Arabidopsis thaliana: one gene and its partner. The protein of the gene in region 2 interacts with the protein of the main gene of each other region in a pairwise test. Each region holds a gene or a part of one and is shown on either strand. Other genes may lie near its edges. The genes, in order: RABA3 and PRA1.B4.

What was found.
Region 1: the proteins of PRA1.B4 (region 2) and RABA3 interact in a two-hybrid assay, tested with the Arabidopsis thaliana proteins (one large-scale study listed by BioGRID).

Annotation. Positions count from the first base shown.
Region 1 is NC_003070.9:85,925-90,302, forward strand, and holds RABA3 (RAB GTPase homolog A3), read right to left. Parts: upstream 2,486-4,378; 5' UTR 2,222-2,485; coding exon 1,956-2,221; intron 1,239-1,955; coding exon 791-1,238; 3' UTR 562-790; downstream 1-561. Other genes in the region: AT1G01210 (DNA-directed RNA polymerase, subunit M, archaeal), read left to right, coding at 3,053-3,157, 3,249-3,339, 3,481-3,605. UniProt on the Arabidopsis thaliana protein: Intracellular vesicle trafficking and protein transport.
Region 2 is NC_003071.7:16,068,824-16,072,580, forward strand, and holds PRA1.B4 (prenylated RAB acceptor 1.B4), read right to left. Parts: upstream 1,842-3,757; 5' UTR 1,680-1,841; coding exon 1,017-1,679; 3' UTR 563-1,016; downstream 1-562. Other genes in the region: AT2G38350 (uncharacterized protein), read left to right, coding at 246-485; AT2G38365 (endonuclease/glycosyl hydrolase), read left to right, coding at 2,107-2,427; AT2G38370 (weak chloroplast movement under blue light protein (DUF827)), read right to left, coding at 3,361-3,757. UniProt on the Arabidopsis thaliana protein: May be involved in both secretory and endocytic intracellular trafficking in the endosomal/prevacuolar compartments.

The DNA of each region.
Region 1 (4,378 bases), on a different chromosome or scaffold from region 2:
ACTCGATCCTATCGTTTATTGAAAATATATAAAAGTTCAAAGGAGTAATTTACATTGTTCTTATATAAGAATCTTTCTTTTGCTAATATACATAAACTAATTAGTAACTTTACACATAATACAGAGGTATCAGCATAGAAAACTAAGTAGTCACAAAGCACTTGGTGGCCGATTAATCATATGTGCTTAGATACAATGTAAATATTAATGTGTGATGTTTTATATATCTGATTATATAATATACTCTCCTTTTTAGGTCATAAGAGGAAAAGCGAGTTTGTGATTGGAGCACTTCAAATGATTCGGTTGCATGCAAAAATAAATAGAATCATATCTTCCATTAGATTTGGATTATATTCCAGATTCTAACGTGACACTCACAATTGATGTCACGAAATATCTACTTAATGAACTTATTGTGGTTCTGATCATTTCACTATCCTAATCTTTGAAAACAAATCTCCATCATTTCACTACCATATAGTTTAGACTTTTTTTTTAAAAAATTCCTTGCTAGAAATATTGATAAAACTCTAGTTTTTACTTAACATTTTGATTGAATAGAAGAAACTCCTTGGAACTTGACAGAATAAAAGAATTGTTTTTTCTTTACATATACAAGAATGTCAAAGAGATTACGAGTGACACATGAATAGCTTTTTGATTTTACTATAAGCACCACCTCTAATTCTCTAAACATGAAAAACCCAAACAAAGATCCGAGTCATATATGGGCTTAAAGAAAGGCCCAATAATTGGCTTTTGATTTTATGGCCTATCACTCAAAATTTCAACACGAGCACGAAGCTTGTTCCTTGATATTACTAGTCTCAAGATCCGAACCAGAGATGACATCAATTCTCGAACCGTCAAGTTTCACGGTGGCTCCACCGTCGGATTCCATAGCTTTTCTCGAAACAACAACGCGGCTGAAAATCTCCTCGAGTAAACGGAAAAAAGCTTCGTCGACGTTTCCGCCGCTTAGAGCCGAGACTTCCGAGAAAAAAAGCCGTTGAGTCTCGGCGAATTCGACTGCATCCTCCGTAGGAACGGCACGTTTACCAACGGAGAGATCGGCTTTGTTTCCGACGAGCATGATCACGGCGGAATCATCGGCGTGAGCACGTAATTCCTCGACCCAACGTGCAACGTGGTCGAATGAGAGGCGTTTGGTAATGTCGTAAACCACCATCGCACCTAACGCACCTCTGTAGTAGGCGCTAGTCACCGCTCTGTATCTGACCGCCGAAACAGGGTAAGCAAACAAATATTTTTTAATTGAATATATTATAACAAAATCTGACATTGCAGACCAAATCAAGAAAGACCAATAATTATTCAAAATCCCATAAATTTAAATATCGTGATCCTAGATAATATAACGAAATTCTACTCTAGTTTATTTTAACATTTAATTTGTATACAAATCTGAGATTCAGCTATAAAGAATTATCAATGTAAGACTGCAATTTCTTCGCTCTTTAATTAATGCAAAACAAAAATATACGCAACATTTATACATATTTTATCAAGAAAAATAATATGAAAAAACGATATTAAAAGAAACTTTTGCATCGGTAAGAAAAATATAAAGTTTTACTTATGCAAGTATGCAACAAAGTATTCGGTGAGTTATTGCATTTGACCTTTTGATCTATAAGTGGTTGCAAAAAGACAAAAACAAAATATGCAGAAAAGAAATCTGACATTGTATTAACCAAATCAAGAACACCAATGGTTATTCAAATCCATACCACAATTCTTTACCCAACAAAAATATTCCATATTGTATTAGAAATATATTTAGTTACAAAATCAAATCAAACCATATCTAAATTACCGTGATCCAAGTGAAATGAAGTGATAGTCTAAACAAATGATTTGAATCCAAAAGTGAGAGCTTAATAAAATATATAAAGAATTATCAATGTGTTTTTGGATATAGATGATATAACCTCTCTTGACCGGCGGTGTCCCAGATCTGAGCTTTGACGAGTTTGCCCCGAAGAGTGATGGTCCGTGTCTGAAACTCGACACCAATGGTTGATTTTGAATCATAACAGAACTCGTTGTGTGTAAAACGTGAGAGGAGCTGCGTTTTCCCGACAGCAGAATCTCCAATGACCACCACCTTGAACACGTAATCGATCTTTTCCGGCATCGTCGGTTTCTTTACGTGTTTGTTATTCTCCGGCGACTCACCGCTCATCTCTTCGTTCATTATTGCGCTGATGAAGAAAACAACTATAAAGTTTAAGTCTCTTTTGAGTAAAGTGGGAGTGAGTGAAACAGAGAAAAGAGAAGAAAGGAGAAGAAATTTGGTTTTATATGGTTCAGTACGAATATACCGAATTAACAAAAATTCTGAACCACTTCAGTGAGATTGGTTGGATTCACTCATAACCATTCGCAACCATATTTAATAAAACTAAAACTGCTACAAACCAAAATTTCGTAAATTTGGTTTGGTTTAAGTCGTTGAAATAACCCAAACTAAAATTAAATATTGAGTATCCTAACCTAAAAGTGTTGATATATGAAGACAGCAACAATGCTCTGTGCATTATTTTAATTAGCTCTTCTTTTATATATAATTTTAATTAGCTTTTTATATATGATTCAAAATGAATATACAATGTTTAAATATAGCTGTGGCTTGTGGGCATGGACCGACATAATTGAAAAACGTTATTATTTTGCTAAATCAATATAGTGATACAACATGAAACCCACGATTTGTCTGGAGACCACCTAAAAAAGCTCTTATGCTCCATCAATTGTTGGTTGTTGTCTACTTCTACCTCATGTATGAATTTATTGCTTTTTTTTTGGTCTATTTCTTTAGTTTTTATATGGTGTTGCTGAAAAATTAAATATATGGATTGTAGCATAAGTTGGGCCTACGTGATATTTTAGGCCCAATAAAAGTTGGGGTGAAACAATTAAAGTATTTCCTAACTAAAAAGAGGGTTCAGAATGTTGAAGAAACAGAAACTTAGGGTTTATGTGGTGGATGAATGATTTAGCAGCGAATTGAAGGGTGTGGTGGAAGATGGAGTTTTGTCCAACATGTGGGAATCTGTTGCGATACGAGGGAGGTGGCAATTCGAGATTCTTCTGTTCCACATGTCCATACGTCGCCTACATCCAAAGACAGGTTCTTTTTTCAATTATATACCTTTTGAAAGTTTGTGAGCAAACCGTTAAAATTCTCTCCTCTGTTCCTGAGTGCTTTGGAATTTTGACAGGTGGAGATAAAGAAGAAGCAACTTCTGGTTAAGAAATCTATAGAAGCTGTTGTGACTAAAGATGATATACCCACAGCTGCTGAAACTGAAGGTATTTTCAGTCTCTTGTCTTCTCTTCTTCTAATTTTAGGACTGTGATGAGTTGGTTCAGAGTTGATCTCACTTGGGGAAAGAGTAGAGTAGACTTTTGTTTCACTTTCTTTCTCATGTTGGGATTGTTTGGTTTTAACAGCCCCATGTCCAAGGTGTGGCCACGACAAGGCATACTTCAAATCAATGCAGATTCGTTCAGCAGATGAGCCAGAATCAAGATTTTATAGATGCTTGAAGTGCGAGTTCACTTGGCGTGAGGAATGAACTGACTGATGATCATCTTCTCCGTCTCTTTGCCTCTGCCAATTTTGAAAGTTTCTACTTTTGCAACCTTCTTAGAGTTTGTTTTACCATTGCAAATTTAGCAGATCCTTTATGTACTCTGCTTCTTTCTGTCTCACAGCTCAATAGTTTCTGTTTCGATTAAATTTTGGAATGTTGTGCAAAGTTTTAATCTTTGAGGTGAAAGAGATGAAGCAAATTGATCTGTTTTGAGATTTCCAGGGATACTTATTGGCTTGAGTATATCTGTAATGTATTAAAAATTAGTTCGGTAAAGCTTAATGATTACTGATTCTGGACATTAGCCATTAGTGATGTCGAGTTTATTCCCGTCATTCGTAAACTTGTTATTGCTTTAGGTCTTCCCATTAACGAGCATACACTAGAGACCAGTTTCCTTAATTTCTGTTGTTGATTTGGTTGTTGATGTGTTGTGTGCATTGCTGTAGAACAGTAGAAGATATATTGCTTTCTTCTTTAGTCGTTGCCATTCTTTGGGAACAGTAGAAGAGATGGATTTATCTGAGTTTGCAGAGTGATTTTAGAATTGATTCTGGTTAGAATGTAGATTGCCTTAGCCATAGAACGTAAGCGTTATATTCTTTCTGTTTCAGGTAGGAGATAGGGAATTTCGACGCAGCACCTGATTGATTCTCCAGAGATCAAAACTAAGTCCACACTAAGGACCATATGGTCCAATCAGTTCCAGATACTTGGAGCATTGCCTTGTGTTGTGAGCATAAAACGGCAAAACC
Region 2 (3,757 bases):
TTTCTAAGTCACTGGCATTGACAAATCCCAAGTTCAAGGAGATTCTAGTTTCCGAGGTCAATACAACTTAGGATATTGCTTTGCTTTTGGTTATAGAGATATTTGCGACTAAGACTTTGTACTTTTTTGTAATTTACTAATTTTCGTTGATGGAAGATGTCAAATTGGTGACTTATACCGTAAGCTAAAACCCTTAAAAAGATAAGAATGTAAGGTGGATTGTCACCCAATACTATTAATTTTAGGTAAGTAACAAATCATTTTTAAAACGAAGCTTCCTTGTTGGCTTAGGGTATACGCCACCAATTCGATATTTCATAGACATTGGGCCTTTGCCGAACTGGACTCGAAAAGAAGTAAATGAGCTTATACTGGGCCGGACTCGAGTACGAAGCCCAATACTAAAGCTGCTCATCGAATTATTTGTGCATCGCATTTGCTCCGACCCACGATTTCAAGTCAAGTCAAGTAGCGTAAATGCGTAATGTGGATATTGTTCTGCTGCTCATCCTCAATAGGAAGTAATTTCCTTTCGTTAAATCCTACGACTCTGATCCAGGTCTGTCTTATGATGGGTGCTTTTGAAAACTGGTGAAATTTGGATGGATCTTGCATGCACATGCATCCAAATTTGACTCTTTTGATTGTATACACGCAGTGCAATGTAGTCACATAACAAATCAAAAGATGGCTACAAGTTCTAATAAACAGATCCATTGCATTTTGAATTTGATCATGAAATAAATCCATATCTTCCAAAACAACACTTGTAAATTAAAAAAGGCTAAAGATTAACACAAAACGGTAGTAAAACTTCATCAAATCAAAATCATGCAAAGATATATATTTCATCTATAGCTATTGCCCATGAACAAGAACCAAAATTAGGCCAGATCCACAACATTTTCACGTTTATTGTTTTCAGATTAAAAAAACAAAATCTAAGTATCAAATTCAACAAATGAATCATATAGAAAGATTTACCCAGGCGAGGGAATGGTAGATCGGAATCGCATTTACACGCGAGCGGCGATAACAGCAGGCGCGGCTGAAGAGGCGGCACCACCGAGGAAAGAGAGGAATCCGGTAGCAGCAGGCTCTTGCTCATCAAGGAAAAGATCTTCCGGAGCTCTAAAAGCACCATGAGCACAGATCAACGCAACACCAATCATCATAGCCGAAACCAGAACAGATCCAACATCGGTGAGGAAGATCACAAAGATACTGAACAAAATCAAACACCCTAACGTCTCACGATCGGAGAATGTACGACCGAATAGAACGATCGGCTGATCCGTGGGACGGAACAAGTAGAGGAAGAGCCACGACGCGAGGAGACAGAGGAGGAAGACGAGAGAGAAAGGATGAGTGACGAGAGAGAATCCGACGATCGCTGTAGCGACGGTGAGGTAATTAACCTTGAAATACGAGTAATTCTTGCGGATACGAACAGCAGCGTCGGAGATCGACTCAGGTTTGGATAATGCGGAACGATCCGCGAGCTCAGCCCAAGGACGACGCTTAGAGAGACCGTTTTTAACGGTTTCGGTGATCTGATTGATGAAATTGCGGAAAGCTGGAGTAGCGATCGGTGGTTGAGATTCGACGGAGGAAGGAGCGGCGGATGGAACGGTTTGGGGATTGGAGATTGGGAGGACTGGTGGTGCTGAGGAAGCCATTGGAGATCAAGTTTGGTAGATCTGAGAAAGAGAGAAGAATTAGGGTTGAAGAAATTGAAGAATTGGGCAAGATCTGATTAATAAATTAAAGAGGGAAGGAGAGATAGATTTGTTTTATATACGGGTATGAGAAAATTGTTGACCTTCCTATTTCTTTCGTTGCTACGGGTCACCGACAATAAACGTGACTCTTTTCCTTTTTGGTTTTCCTATTATTATTTGATTTAATTATGATCTATATTAGGTTAAATCTCGTGTTTTAGGGAGATAAATGTTAAAGAGTTTTATATTTATATCTATTTTTTCCAAAATTTTAAAAGTGAATGAAACTATTATATTGAATTTTATTTTTCCGATAACGGTATATTACTATTTAATCAAGATTTATTAAGGTAATGGATACATTCTATGATTTTTGGAGGAGCTTATGTTATGGACAGTTGACCGGACACGTATACCAACTAATCTCATGGTAATCTCAAGCAAAATCACAGATGACTGCTCGTACGTCAAGTGTCTTTCGTTTATGATGAAAAGCAGGACTGGGAATATTCTCTTAGCTCAGCCTGAGAACTTGGCTCATGATGATGATTTATCACAATCGCTTCTTAGTCAAGTAACTGCAGTGTGGCTTTGGACAAGCCTATCATATGGAGGAAAGCCTATCTTCAATCGTGGGATCTCACAACTGGTCACCAAGAAGTGGACAAGTACTTCAGTTCAAGGGGAGACTTCAGTTAACCAATAACAGAAACGATGATGGTTATGAGACAGAGGATTACACAAAGGTGGGTGAGTCATCTTCAACACAGAGAACACCAATAACCATGTCTCGCTCCCGGCTCCACAAGAGATTTCGCCGCGGCTGAGATTGGCGTCTTCTGGGACATGGAGGTTGGTGATTGGGACTTGGGAGTGAACTCTTTTAACTCTTTTATTCAAATCTTTCAGTTTGTTTTCTTTCAATGAAAAGCTGATGGAAAGTCTCAGTAGTTTTGATCAATGCGTTATTGATTAGGCAGTCTTGTTGATTTCTTGAGATGTAAGTCATTTAAATCTCTTGTCTACTACAATGGTTTTGTGGCTTAAAGAGGTGTCAGAGAGTTGGCCAAAACAGAGGCGAATGCAGAGTCAAGTGTTTTGGCAATTTGTCAATGCTATATCATATGTGGCTACTACTGCAGCTATACACATTGCCAACAACAATCCATTGTTTCATTAACGCACCAAAGTCATATTGTGAGAAGAAGAATCCAAGCTACTTTGATCATGGCTCTACACTTACGAAGAGAGAATTAACTAGGAGATGTGTTTACAAAACCATTGTTTCCTAATCATGTTCCAAGTCTCATTGGATATTAGATACTACCTCAGTTTAAAATGATAAGTTTGTTAGTCCCTTGAGTCATATGATGATTTAGTTAGTCTCTTAACTGATTGTTCTATGTATACATATTAACTCTCAGAGTATAAAAGAAGCTTTGTAATAGAATTAAGTTACTGAAAAATTCCATACTTCATCATCTTCTCTGTTTCGTTTCTCTGTCAATGCTAATATGGTCGTATTGGGATTAATTAGCCTAGATTAGCATTATAATAAAGCACTTGATGATACACTTTGTTTTCTTAAACTACTGGTTCACGTACAAAACAGAAAGAAGTCATCAACAGATTCAAAATATCACCTTAAGTTCAAAGCTATCTTTTTCTTCTTCTTCTTGTTCTTGCTCTCTTTGTTCAACAACACAGAGATCTTAGCAAATCCGAAACTCTTTCTCTTTCGAGTCTTCGTCCTTTTCTCATTCTCTTTCCCTTCACTTCTCTTGCTTACAGTTTTATCACTACTGCTATTCTTTGCAAGCATCTGACCCAACGACATTTTTCTTCTCTCATTAGCAACATTCATATCTGAATCCTCTGCAAGAAGTAGCTTCTTGCTCAGTATTTGTCCTATTGACATTGTTGGTTTCAAGACTGGGACCGTTGAAGAAGATGATGACCCGTCAACAACATCGTATGTCAGATGCAGACCGTTTACATCCATCAGACGTGTTGTTGTCTCTCTTCTGCTCTTGAAC